Linked DNA regions of Styela clava. The protein of the gene in region 1 purifies or fractionates together with the protein of each later gene. This does not show direct contact. Links are inferred from orthologs where the notes say so. Each region holds a gene or a part of one and is shown in the gene's direction. Other genes may lie near its edges.

What was found.
Region 2: the proteins of SHC-transforming protein 1-like (region 1) and phosphatidylinositol 3,4,5-trisphosphate 5-phosphatase 1-like purify together in Homo sapiens (affinity purification with western blotting; 4 studies listed by BioGRID and IntAct, with this or other methods). This does not show direct contact. The link is inferred for Styela clava from reciprocal best matches to the Homo sapiens genes SHC1 and INPPL1.

Annotation. Positions count from the first base shown.
Region 1 is NC_135252.1:18,273,084-18,280,328, reverse strand, and holds the start of SHC-transforming protein 1-like, read left to right. Parts: upstream 1-4,236; 5' UTR 4,237-4,366; coding exon 4,367-4,513; intron 4,514-5,351; coding exon 5,352-5,422; intron 5,423-6,269; coding exon 6,270-6,456; intron 6,457-7,245. UniProt on the Homo sapiens protein: Signaling adapter that couples activated growth factor receptors to signaling pathways. Participates in a signaling cascade initiated by activated KIT and KITLG/SCF.
Region 2 is NC_135256.1:234,140-241,775, forward strand, and holds the start of phosphatidylinositol 3,4,5-trisphosphate 5-phosphatase 1-like, read left to right. Parts: upstream 1-4,616; 5' UTR 4,617-4,707; coding exon 4,708-4,844; intron 4,845-5,216; coding exon 5,217-5,280; intron 5,281-7,636. UniProt on the Homo sapiens protein: Phosphatidylinositol (PtdIns) phosphatase that specifically hydrolyzes the 5-phosphate of phosphatidylinositol-3,4,5-trisphosphate (PtdIns(3,4,5)P3) to produce PtdIns(3,4)P2, thereby negatively regulating the PI3K (phosphoinositide 3-kinase) pathways.

The DNA of each region.
Region 1 (7,245 bases):
TGCTTTATATCAATGAACAGATTTTTTATTTAGCATACTGATAAAATAAAAAATTGAAATACCAAGTGTAATTTCCTATACCATTCTACCCCAATCAAGCAATTATGCTAATTTTAAACCCCAGTTACGTATTTTTTGGCATGAGGTGCACGTCTATTCAATATTTACGCTGACCCACTCTTTGCATGATGTCAGGGTTCAATCTTAATAAATATTCGAATTCCCAGTCACATTCCTTGAAAGTGTATTTAGGTAGAAATACCTAAGTTAGTATTTTAAACGGTGAAAAACTCATCCGCGTGTTCCAACCTCTCAGATGGCTGCTAATGTTTCAAAGGATAAGACAGCCAGCTGAGCGAGCTGTTTCAAGCAGACGCCATATTACAAAATATCAATCCTCAAGATTGCACGCATGATCCTTCTACTTATCGGCTGATAATGAAGACATTGTCATTTCAGCTGGGCACATCTCATATATAGACAACATAAATCTCAACGAATTTTTTTCGAAGTTATTTTAAATATTCTCGATAATCACATGATCTAACTATCGCCCAAATTTGGTCATATTAATTAATCCTTCTGCAGCCAACGCGGAGGCAAATGCTTTCACATCAGAGAATTAACGGGAGTTTTACACGTACAGCACTTCCTGTATATATCTGCACATCTATCATCACCTTGTTTATAAAAGCAATAAACAATTTATATTTCGAAAGCATAGATAAAAAGAATATCGAAAAATAATGCAAATATTACAATAATTTTAGAGTAATATACCGTATCCATATTGCAATTACGCGCGATAGCTGACAAATTAGCAACCGTGAGCAGTACGTACACTCAAGTTATCAATATTTACTAATTTTCTATTTCGTTAGCTCATTCTCTCCTTGAATATGACCAAACGGCTCGAGGCCATTTCTATTGCCTCTCTATACAATGTGTATATTACGTACGGGTTTCCAAAATATATGAAATGCAATTGCGTTTGGGTATTTTCGACCAACACGTTGTGTTATGTGCGCATTTATCTGTCAGTTGAAGTGTTATGTCATCACATGTATATTGGATTACGATAACGTCATAATTATAAGCTGTAAAATAAATTTAACAACGACTACAATGTGAAATAATTCACCTACAGTCAAGCTTTACAGAAAAGTTGAATAGATAATTTTCAAAAAGAATTGTATACGCATAAAATAATACTCGTATACAAGATTAGATATTTGAATGTTGGTTGTTTGTTCCGATTGCTGTTTACTTGACAAAATATAGTTCAAAAAAGTAAATGAAGAAATAGATAACTTTCTCCTAATTTCAACACTATTTTATTTTGCGGTGCTTAAGAAATAATGTTTTGTAAAACATATTGTTGCTATGAACACTTGTAGTATTTAACAGAACATTAAAGAGTGTTTACTCTTTACTGTAATGATAAAATATTATTCAACTGCAGACGTTCTAGTTACCTTGATCTTTCGACAACAAGACATTGTATTTTGAGTCTTATAAATTCGGAAATATCTATAGTTATCGTACTAATTAAAAATTGAATTTACTCACCCTCCTGCGCATCTTTTCCTAACAATAGTAATAGTCAACTTCTCTTGCTTATGATATATATCAGTTTGACGCAGAACAAAACTTCGAAATGAAAGAAATCTTCTCTGTTATTGTATTTAACCTGCGAACTTTAACAATGACGATATGAGGTGTCAAACATAGAAGGCATGTTTATCTCAAAAGCAATTAAAAAGCCTGCTCATCGTAATAAAACACACCACAAACGCGCATTAATAATATAATAGAAGCCTATGTTTTCACGGAACCGTGTTCGTCGATTTTTGATGACGAACTTTTTATAAGAACATTGGCCAACATCATGCGGTAAACATGTTTCCAAGGTCATGGCCTTGATAAAATTAGACTTGCCTGATTTATAGGAGTCTGAAGTGTCGAGAAGAAGTGTTACCGCGAATAGTTATAAGGGTGTTTTTACACTTTAAATCTCAGGAATTTCAATGAATTGGTAAGTATTATATTTATAATCATTAAGCACAAATAAAAATTTACTTTATAATTTTTGATATCTTGAAAATCTTGCTCCAGAGGCGTAATTTGTATATAATAAAAAATGAAAAAAAATGAAATTTTTGCGACAAGTGACAAGTTTTCTGATTGATGGTACAGCAATTGCTGCGCTTGAGCACCTCGTATTTGCCACAGTAAAAAGTAATTATGTCTCAATAATTCGAATATACTGTTAAACGTTCAATTTTAGATATTTATCTTCAGAGTGAAATGCAACGCCATTGTGTTCTGACACTGTTTGCCATTTTATCATGGCTTTAATCCAATTCTAGATTAAAATAGTCAAATGTGTTCTGGACATAGAAGCATTCCAAATGGACGAAATCAAGTGTGGGTGTTATTCATCAACTCTCGGGATTTACTTGCTAGTGACGGTCACTGGAATAACCCCTCAAAGAATACTACTTTATATCAAAGAATGTGCAGTTCCCATTGAAGATATTGGCGATATTTATGACAGCTGTTCCACTAAAGCCACCTAAGTACGGCACCATTCACGACAGTTGCACAACCAAGTTAACTCGTGAATCGAGTTAATTAATCCCAATAAACTGAATCAAGTCGAGTTTCCTTTAGTTGTTCTTAAACGGTGGGAAGCTTCATAAGGGGCGCGTACACAAATTTTGAGGGGACGGGAAGCTAATTAATAATAAAAATATATTATATTTGTTAGATTTGATCTCGCCCGCCCTGTTTCGGATATTCACATTTTGCACGATTTTAAAACTTTCATTTATTTCATTATTTACGTTCCATCCACGTATTTCCAAAGTGATTTTTTTTAATGAAACATACTTTCGCCTTACCATCTGTTATTTGTAGCTTATTGTTAGCTAGTTATTTTTGAGGTGGGGCGCGAGGCTTGAAAAATTCCAAAAAATGGGAACCACTGATTTATACCGATCCGTCATCGGATTTAAAAATATCATTGTGGTGTTCAATTTTTAAATTTTTGTAACAAAACTGTGTTTTGTGGCTTCTTCACTTCATTCTTTATTGCGATTAACGAAACGTTCATTTTTGTGAGTGACTTAGAAAAGCAAATTTTTGACGATTTTCCTGCTTCAATTATTCCCAAAATAATCTGATTTTTCACTCACTTGTATAATTTCCAAGAAAAACTACTATAAAAAGCTAACAAGAAACAAAACAAACATGTATACATGACTTTTTAAAATTGTAATTCAATTTTTGGCGGTTTGAAACCGGCTTCAACAACACAACATATTGCCGAAAATTTTTCCTAACGTCATTTTCTGTAAGTCGGGCAAATGTCATAGTCGCTATCGCTAATTTGTTATGCAATGTTGGTTAATGTTAAATTGGTTATTGTTAATAGTATATTCAAATATCAAGGAATGAACACTGCCAGATGTGTGCAGTATATTATGGTAAAAGAGCCGCAGGCAACAAGCCGGAAATGTGTGAAATTCGTTTCATTGTTAAACGTTTACTTTCTTTTTTTAAATTGAAACTTTTCATTCGGCCCAACCGCGGAGCTATATATATTTCTAGTTCAGTACATCCAACGAATTCATTTAATGCATTTCTGGTAGAAAACAAGTTAACGGTTCTGTGCAATAAGCAAATATTATTGATATTTTCACATCCATTTAATAGTTGTTTAATAGTTGAAGTATTCGGCAACCAGTTGTTCAAAATGTATCTTTAAATTTTTAGAATTCCAACCGAACAAATATAACGAGATATATATCACTGATTCGAATAAACTGGATGCTAATTTAGTCTAAATAAACACGTATCATTATATCATTTTAAATCGCTGATATAAATTTAGCACTTCACACACGCAGCGCTACAATGATTTTCAAATTAATAAAAAGAATTTAAGTTGATTTAAAAAATCTCAGTACCCTTTTATAAATCAATATGAAATTTTGTATTGCACTGACATGTCTTGATTTTTTCTTGGATATGTTTTAATATTATCAAAAGCAGTGGCAAAGCGCACATTGAAAACACAGGGTCGCGTTTTGACGGCCGATATTTTCCGACATAGGTATCTAAAAATTCACATCGGTATGTCGTAATTTTTGCTCTATTCTGAATCATCGTGAGGTGGCGCTGGAGATCAACAATTTTTAAGAATATCTCTATCTCTATCTAACTTGACATTTCACAGTTAGTCTCAGACGTCTGGACGTAGCCGAGCTGTTCTTGTTTTTATCTTTTCCGCCGGTAAACGTTTATATATATTCTGATATATGACTTAGATTTTGGTGAATTTAATAAGCAAACAATACAAGAGATGAATCGAATGAAAAACAAAAAGGTAATCGAAGGAGATCAAGCAAATGAATGGAGGAAATCAGGGAGCTTTGTGAATAAACCTTCAAGAGGATGGCTCCATCCAGATAATTCTGTGATGGGACCTGGCGTCGTCTATGCAGTTCGGGTAATATTTGATGCACATTATGGTTTTAATGTTTTTCATTATAATCTAGTAAACTCTGTGTATGCTGCAATGACTCAATGAATAATCTAGGAAACTTACAGGCTTATCCAGTTATCGATGAGAATAACTGAATAGAAGAATAATGGGGTCTAGCGAAGTAAACCTGTAAACGCTGTGACCTAAAATGCCAAATATCTGATGTAAAATGAGCGCCAGAACTGCTTAAATAACACAGAACTAGAATATGATGGGAAATTTTCATGTTTTTTTTTAAAAAAAAGTCGGTCAGCGTGGAATGAAATTCTTGGCGTATTAAGTCAGTAAGTAAAATGAAACCCAAGCTCACTAGAAGTACTAGGCTAGACCCCATTTTTGTTTGGCATCATTTAAGCTCTTACAGCGTTCACTTCGCTAGAACGAAATAATGCCAGACTCATACCAATGAAAGTAGAAATGATGATTTTTTTCCGTATTTTATACTTGAGATAGCTTCTCTTGTTAACTAATAGACCAATCGATTTCAAATTTCCGCTACTTAAATGGGGAAGTAATAGCCTGACGGTTCAATATTTTTTTTTTCAAGTTCCCCCTAAACCCTGTGAGATCCGATATTATACCCAAAATATCACTGTTTTATTTTTATTCATGGAAAACCTATTTTTATTTCATTTTTGCCATTGTCAAGGTTATCCTTCATTTTTGTTTTGTGAACTAGGTACTCAGCCACGTTTGAGTGTAAGATACATAACCTACTGCAGTTAATTGTTGAACTGTCATGTTCATAAATTTGAGCATTTTTCTCATATTTTTTATCTTGTTTTTCATATTTTTTTTATAGTATCTTGGATGTATAGAAGTCAGGCAAAGTATGCGGACATTACAATTCGATATGAGGACACAGGCAACAAAGTGAGTTTCTAGTCAAAATGTTTATCCCTTTTTGTTAGAGCCTGACCATTTAGTGTTAAATTTGGTATGCAATTTGTGTACAAGAACCATGATAAGTATACAGGAAGGTCTTATCTTTCCTCATATCTGTTTATGGTGAGGTGATGTAATGAATATTAATAAGCATTAGTCATTGTAATTGTCATTCACAGTATATAAAATCTTGGTGTCAAAAGGGTTCACGGGTATGAACCCAATGAAAGATCCAATCTTGAAATGAATTCAGAAGCAATTTTTCTAACGCTTCGACTATTATTGTATCCAGCCTGTAAGAGTCGATCTGCAAGTAAAATACTGCCTTTTTTACTTCTTATGTAAGACCAATAATATAGGCCAATTGCTGAAAAAACTCAATTTTTTTAGGCATCTAAATTTTTTTTATACCATGTTGTTTATGGCCTTTACCATCAAAAAAGTGAACAAGGCTTTGTAAAGCATCTACTGCTAGGTATCAATGATCAAATTACTTCAGATTCGGTTCAAAATGATTACGTGTAGTTGTTGGTCCATGCTATTTGTTGTGGTACAATTAGATATTAATGGTGTTTTATCCATGTTTATTCTAGGGCAAAGAGTCTGTAAAACTGTAAAAAAAGTCTGTAATTTTCTAAGAGATATAATACTGTCAGTAATCCTTTTATAAGTGGAAGTCACAGGCTTAAGGATTAGTTTGCAACTTGCAAGTTTAAACCTTCACTCTGGAAAAAACGGCTGTTCCAAACTTTTTATATCAGACAATGTAGCTGATACCATAGCTTGATCCATTTACTAATTTTTTCTGATGATTTATTCTGATATTACTTTAAAGGGAAGCAATATGGAGAATATTGATGGCCACAAGACGATCACATCAACTGGTTTCTCGAAGGAAAAAGACTCCGAAAGAAGTTTCACGAATTCTAGGAGAACGTCCCAATCTACAGTTTTCATTATCATTGATTAATTTAACAATTTCAACAGCAAGTTTGACTTTGGTTGTCACTGATTCGGGACAGGTATTGATGATATTTATACACTTTAAAGAAAATGTGCTTCACACATACTCAGTAATGAAAAAGCTCTGTGTGAGGAAAGTTACTGGTGATCACTGAAATGACAATAGCTAACATGGAGTTTGAAACCTTCTCGTGAGTTATCTAACTCTAAATTTCACCAAAGGCCTGCAGTTAGATTAAATATTCTCATCATCTTCTGCTTAACTAAGATATTGTTTGTTGTAGATTTGCTACGAGCATTCTTTCATTACAAAAGTTTCTTAATTTGAAAATAACTCATTCTAGCTCACTAACTTCGTTTCTGCAAAAAATGATTTTAGTGGGTGCAAGTAGACAAAAAATTAATCATCTTTAAACTTGCCTCTCGGCTCTGACTAGGTTCTCAGAATGAGTGAGGTATGGTGGATGTTAACTTGAACAAATCTCTACCAACTGAGAGTTATAAGAGTCCTTCAATTCAATTTGATGATAAACTCAAGTTTTTATTCTTTTGCAAATACGATGGAAAGTGCAGTTGACAGTTATACTGTCATAATCCATCCATCACCTTTTAGGTTTGAATCTTGTGATTCAAATGATAAGTACAGGTTTTTTCTTCTTTTTGCAAATACAATCGAAAGTAAAGTTGACGCTTAGAGTTGTTATTAATATTGCATACTATCGGCTACTAATGTTCTTCGGAATACTGGCAACACAAGTTTTGTTACACTTTGTTGTTATTGATATGGTTTGTTTAGAATTAGGATCAGAATGGGCAGGCTCTGATGTAATTGCCACTGTGCCATCGGT
Region 2 (7,636 bases), on another chromosome or scaffold:
CTAAAAAAAAACAATTGAAACCGGATATTACAAAACGTATGAGAAACACAAAAGTATGAGAAATTGCGAACACAGAGTAAATCAGAATTTATATGGCGAACGTTCTCCTCCAACACTCAGGCGCGGCGGTGTGGCTCAACTGGCTAAGCGTTAGATTAATTACTCTGTGTGGGTGTTCGCAGGTTCGAATCCCATGCAGGATGGTTATGTGCGTCGTCGTTGGGTGGCTCACGTAACCGCTGGTCGGTTACGGCTTCCGAAAGCAAACAATATAACTAATCCCATACCCAACTTGGAATGGTAACCGGACGAGAGGCCGTGGTTCGCCATATGGATAAGCCGTCTTATCGGCTTTTCTCTCCCCCGGGATAAATATGTAAATCCTATCCTTCCTATCCATTGCGCCAACGCCGAGATGTCAAAAAGAGCAGACTCCCTCCACTAATAAGACGTCATAAATCATCCAAGCGTAATAATTTGAACGAAACAAGGAAATAGAACCAGGGTTGGATTTACCGAGAACTGTCGCTATGTTTTGATTTATTAGGTGAATTTTTTATATTATTAGGTGAACTTTTTGATATTTTCACGATCAGACGATTGATTTTGGCAGATAGTTGAAAATTTGAATTGTACCGTTATTCTAGAAATGGCCACCCCCACATACGTTTTAGACTGTTCTGGAGTTACGGGACTGAGTTAAGGAGTGGACTGAAACATTCTGACATTACTGCATTAGGTGGAATGATTGACCGGTATAAGTTTATTATTTTGACTCCATAATCAGCATGAAAGAGGACAAAATAAATGATAAAAACTAAATAAATAAAACTGCTGAACTGATTACAGAATCAGGAAAGCGAACAAAACCCTAAGTTGTAAGTAATATTTGAAATGTCAGAATTTACAGATTTTAGATTAAAATGTGTTGTCAGAAGAAGTGGTACGTGTTCGCTAACCCAGGAGTATTAAGTTAAATAAAACATATACCGTAAAAGCAGGTAACTTCGGATGATTTCACTATATTATGAACAATTTCTCCGCCGTTTATTGTTCAATTGAAGCCAAACTTGGAATATAATACATTGAAGCCTTTCTCCTCGCGATAAACTCGGTTTCATATCAATCAATACTTTTTTTCATTCAAATTATTGACTTTATTTGCCTGCCGATCTGTATTCCAAATGTTTATAACTTCGGATGGCCACTTTTCGCTTTGCGTCACTTCGTCGTGAGAGAGAAATGTCTGCGTGATCAGTGACGCGTGATAACGTCGCTGCGTAGAACTTACGACGCCGTGATTCGTTTTGCGTGTCGCACACTGACGTTCATCTATGATGGCCGTTTTTGTGATTATTAATTCTTCCGGGTCGGCGGACATCAAAGTTTTATATATCTGGTGTACCCGTGTGTTTACATCGGCAACAGCTCTTGAAGACAAGAAGGACTGATTTCAAAACCCAAATTAATTTTGTTCTGATTTAATCTTACGTGTTGGCTTTGATCTTACTTATCACCGTTTGTATACTATTAATCGTTCGAGTTTAAAGCGAACGGTGATATTATTATCGTCGCCGAGATGGAGATATTTATTAAGACGATGATTGATGTTGTTATGCTTTGCACCCGCGATTGTGCGAATACTGAATTTTTATTTATAATAATGATTGAATAAATCGGCCGTTATGCATTTATACTTGTCATAAGGCTTTTGGTCCTGATAGCGGGTCGGACACTAATTATAACTATTTCCCTCAAGTTTTAACTTTTTTGAACAAAACAATACCCCAACGGTTATTATAGCTAAAACCGTTACCGACTAATTCACAATTTTATCTGCGGAATTTGCGAACTCAGCACTTTACTCGGCGATTTTGACAGTGTCGCGCCATAATTATTACCGCTAAATGCTTCAAAATACAACGCATGTAATAATTTTGCCCAGCCCTATTCCTGACGTTTCGCAAAACTAAACCATTTATCTCTTGACTATTCTTAATTTCATGAAAGTGCTATATCTTGCTATTATGATCGTTTCAATACGAAACAAAAATGAGACAACATGGGACAAATGAAAATAAAAAACGGACGAATAAAATAAGTCGTAAAAGTAAAAATGGAAAACAATTTTTAATACAAAACAAAAATGAAACGAATGAAAATAATAAAAAAGAAAAATGGATGATGAATTACGGTAGGTAGTAAAAGTAAAAAAAATGGAAGTGGACAACAATATGGAACAGTGTAGCTTGTGGCCGTGTTGATAATTCAGATATAATGTATTCACAGGCAGATAGACATGAAACGGATAAAAACGCCAAAAACCTCCAATCTCCTGCTGTGTGCACCTGTGCAGAGTTTCATGCTCACCTGTGCAACATTCTACTCTTAATATATTATCATCGCCGATCGTAAAACCTTGTCATTGTGATAGTATAGATACGCGTATCTGGCTGTTCATCAGCCTTACGTATCAACAACATCTATACGGTCGAAGAATGCCGAAATGTTAACACACAAATTTAATGTGCATTAATCGGATTCACAATAAATAAACAGCATATGACCGGGGCTATAATTAAGTTTTTGTAGGATTTGGTGACGAGGATCAGGTAGGAGTTTTCACTTTATATTTAACTACACGTGGCGCCACATAGTCTGGCGTTCAAATGTCGCAGCGAGTTACGCAATGTGACGTCGGCCTTAAATGGAGCGAAATTGAATCACGTTGTTGACGTCACGTTCAGCGTAAGCACCGTAACGTCGATATTTTGACGAAATTTTTAAATCAAAATAATATATTTTACTTGAATCTCGTACGACATCTAGTGATCACTGTAATTTTCCTTGTACATTGTGTATGCCCTCTAGCGATTGACGGTCTTTTAGTGAAGTTAGCGTCGATAGAAGTCGCTATTTTAGCCGCTCAAAAGCGAGGTGTCAATTTTTGGCAAAAAGGTGATTTTTTGTGTCAAAAAATAAATCCTATTAGGCGACTGAATATGATAAGAGATTAAGATATATAAGGACTCTCTATAGAAACTGCCAGAAGCAGAATATGACGTAATTTAGTCGAGATATAAACGATTGAAAATTTCATCCGAAGTTATAAACCATCCGAAGTTACCTGCGTTTACGGTACATCTGTACATACAATCATCAAAATAAAATTAGAAGAGATAAAAAAAGAGGAGCATGAAAAATATAGGGTGGCTTAGCCACTTTGCGGCCACGACCTATTTGCGGCCATCAACTTTATCGATTAAATTAATGCCGAATAAATTAACGAACCGCGACGATATTTCTCATGCGTTATCGTCCAATTATCCCCCGTAGCTCTGCGAAATGACACTGAACTTCGGCCACAAACAAAATAGTTTCGCCCGAAAACCTGACCGAAGAAAAAAAGCAGATCATTTTTTCATGTCGCCAACTACCCATCGTCTCTCTAAATAAGCTTGCGAATTCCATACGGTTTCATATTCCAAACGTAGCGGTTTGAATGAAATGGTCCGCAGATTGGCTACACCACCCTATTACTTAATAAAAAGAAAAATATACAAACAAAAATAAAATTAGCCCTCGGAAGATATTGTCAAGCTGATTATCTGGATTACAGTTGGAGTCACCTTATGCTAAATTGCCCAATCAGTTGATACTGCGTCTGGCATCACTCCTTGTTTTAAACATGCCTAGTTTTTGTTTTTTCATCAATATTTTGGAACAGTCTTGGAATTGGAGAATTTTGCCTGAGAAGTGTGCCTCAATGAATCAGATAACAACTAGGGCTGGGCATTTTCAGTTACATGAGTATTTCAGTACGGCACACTATACAAATCGGGTGACATTGTCCCGTTTCAGAGAAACCCATTTTGCAAATGATCAGACACTAGACGTCTGGACATTGTTATCCCTCAATATCGGTAATAATACAGTATAATGGAGTTGCGCCAAATACTACAAAAAAGCGCAATCTAGTAACGTCTTCTTTGAATTCCTTGAAAAAAAATTAATCCGATTTACCGAAGAAAAAAAAATTACCGTAGCATTCGAGAGTTTTTAGCAAGAAACGGCAATTTTGGTCATGTGACGGCCGCGATTAATTTCGATTATTATTACGACAAGCATGACGCGATATAAAGCATCTGACGGGGTCCCAGACGCCTCTCGTTTGTGAGACACAGAGTGTTTATTTTATTCAGCCAAATGGAGGGAAATTCCTGGAATTTGGATAGTGTGCTGTACTGTATTTCAGGATTGAATTACTTTTTTTTTCCGAATCGAATCTCGAATACTTGGAAGCTACGCAATTGTATGTGACTTTTTATTGTGTTGGGCCCCCAGAGATATAAATTAAAATTATCATAAACGCTAAAAAGAAAATGGTCATATGTCAAATTTGCATTTTAAGAAATTAAAGAATTTACTATGATCTTTGGCAGACAAATTAACGAATTTACTATGATCTTTGGCAGACAAAAAGCAAAATGGTGACGATTCAAAATTTTGCCTGGAACAATTCGAATAACTTATTGATTCAAACCGATGCTCAGCTCCAATATCAACTGTAAACCGACATGAATTTTCAATTGTCCTGAACTATATATTGAAATGTTCACTTTCATTCGTAAATAGTTTCATTACTGCATTAACAGTAGTTTTATTTGTAAAAGTAGTCAGAACATGTGATTCTTGCGAACACTGAGAATGTCTGAAGAGAAATGGTATCATGGTCGACTCAGTCGACAAAGAGCAGAAGAACTTGTCTTCAAAGCAGGGTTGGACGGAAGTTTTGTTGTTCGTGCAAGCGAAAGTATCATGGGAGCGTATGCTCTCAGCGTTCTGTGAGTATCTACTTGTTTTGTTGTTATCTTTATTGCTTGGTGGGTTAAGACAACGTTTCTCAAACGTCTGTGATCATGCCTTCCTTCCAAATGTTCTCTATACTTTGCGGTTATTTTAGCAGATTTTATCGGCCTAAAGTCTTATCAAACATGATTTGTATTCAGTTTTTGGTGCTAAAATGAGGCTTCGCCTTATTTGCTGAAACATACGGTAACTCTGATTGTCTGATTTTGTAATTAGTTCAGTAGGCTTGGCAGTCTTAGGTGAAAATAGAGATTTGAAATTACAATGGCCTCTTTCAAAAATGAAGAAAGTATTTTACCCAATCTTTTTATAGAAATTTACTTTCTTAAATAATGTTGTATTCCTAGGCACGGTGGGTCAATACATACATATCGGATATTGCCAACAGACAGTGGACTCCTTGCTGTGCAGGTAAAATTATAATTTATGATATTTATTAATATTTTTTTGAAATTCTGCTGCCGTAATTATAGGGTCTAGTATAGTATAGTACCACATATACTTCTAGTGGGCGTTGCATAACAATTTTTTCACGTTTCAATCCTAACCCCCACCTGACTACTTCATCCAAAAATTACGTCACTGCAACGTCACAGTGACGTAATATAGCCCTTCAAAATATGCGGACTGTCATCCAAGACCCGCTCGTCTGCGCATCCGACATCTCGTTTTCTCGTCCCTACAATCCTAGTATGAGAGAGATCGCTGACGTGAGTCAGTTTTTCATCGTCGGCGCCGATGCCATTCCGGGCGATCGTACGTATATTTGGCAAGCTCTTTGCTGTGATTGTGATGTCGTATTGACATAATTTTTGGATGACGTAGTCAGGTGGGGGCAGGCGCGCAGCCAGGATTTTCAAAAGGGGGGGGTTTCATAATCATAAATTCCCATTGCGGTCTGTAACAGTCTTCGCATTACGCGCTCGTTAAAGGGACGTCTTTTCAGCGTATAATGATTATTCTTTTCGCGTGAAATATTCAATCTCTGACAACTACAAAATTCTAAAATGTCTTTATATATTAGTTTAATTGTGTCCAACGTAACTCGCGGTTGCTTCTTCTTACGTCAAAATTAAAACATTAGTTCTCTGAAATGCCACGGCGATCGGTGAACATAAAAATATGAGATAAACGGTGTATTTAATTTTAATACGTATTTTTGGAATCTTGCCAACTCGTTATCGCTGTTAGAAAAATCTCAATAACTGATATAAAATCCCGAAAAGTACAATTTTATTTCATACAATGAAAATGCATATGAAGTATATCGTTAAATCAAAAATACCTATTCATCGCCTCGATTACGCCACTTGTTTAAAGAGCCGACGTTTACAACAAAAAATGATTTTTCTGTTGTGCAAAGTAATCAATTCGTGACCGATAAGGGCATATTTAAAATGTCTTGCTTTATTAATTTAATTGTCTTCAATTTAACCAGCGTTTGCGTCGACAAAACAAAACAATTTCTTACAATTCACAATTTTAAAATACCTCAGCCATTTGCCGACATAAAAATAAAAATTTGTGGTAACTGCCCGTCGCCTATCATATATTGTTTTGATCCGTATTTTTTCTATTTTGCAAATTCGACAAATTTGAGATGTGCTTGTAACATTGACTCCGTTCAATCGCAATGCTGACACTCCGATTATTTTTAAAGATAAAACTTCCTGAAAAATCCGTAAATCTGCTGTAAATTCTCATGGAGTAAAATTCATTTCAGTACAATAAAAATTGATGGATATACTTCGCATTACTTATCTTATATATCATCACAAACCGGGAAAAAATCGCGTTTTCAACCTTGTTTAATGATAACACGAAAATTTTCTACGACAATTTTAAAGTAATGGATAAAAGGCAAATCCCACCCACTATATTTAACCGTGTTTCGCTTTTAGTGACGGTATGTTCCTAAACGGCGACCAAACATAATGTGCGATGTAAGCACACGAAATTTATGGTTTAGAAAGAATAAAAACCGACATAAGGTCGTTTACGACCTAAATAACACGCTGATGAAAACATGGGCGATTTTAGCAGAAGGAAAATTCAAAAGGGGGGGGGGGGTTAGGATTGTCATGTCGAAAAATTTTGATGCAACGCCCACTAGAAGTATATGTGGTACTAAACTATACCAGACCCTAACTATAGAGGAATCTTCCAAATCTAAATATCTTGTTCCAGGCTAAATTTTATTTTTATTGCCCCGCGGTCCATTAATAGCTCTTTTAGCGATTTATTTTGATCCGCCAAACTTTACATTTTTTCACTCATTTGCACCATTATCACTGTTTAAGCATGTATATATACACAAGGATTCAATTAAACTGGTATATCAATTACACAAACTGGTGTCGGCCTATTGCACTGTCCTCCCATGGCCTGAGAATATACTTCCGCTTCTAATTTTGGCCCCACGGACAATCAACTTTGGGAACCACTGATGTAGAGAAATCAAAAAACAACAAACAATATTTTATGCTCAACTTTCACATATATCAGTTTTGGGATCTATTTATTTAATTTTATACTGTATGTTAGAATCAGATTGAAAGTTTGTAGTCGGGAAAACTTATTTCCAAATCTGAAAAAACTAGTCAGATCCCACCTCCATGTTGGATGGAGCTTTTGACTAAAAACTTTCAACTTGATTAAATTGTTAATAATAAAAAAGAAAGTCTGGACATTCTTTTATAGACTTTGAAATAGTAATTCAACCTAATTATTTTAGTTTCCGTTAATAAAAATTTTACTTTAAATATCA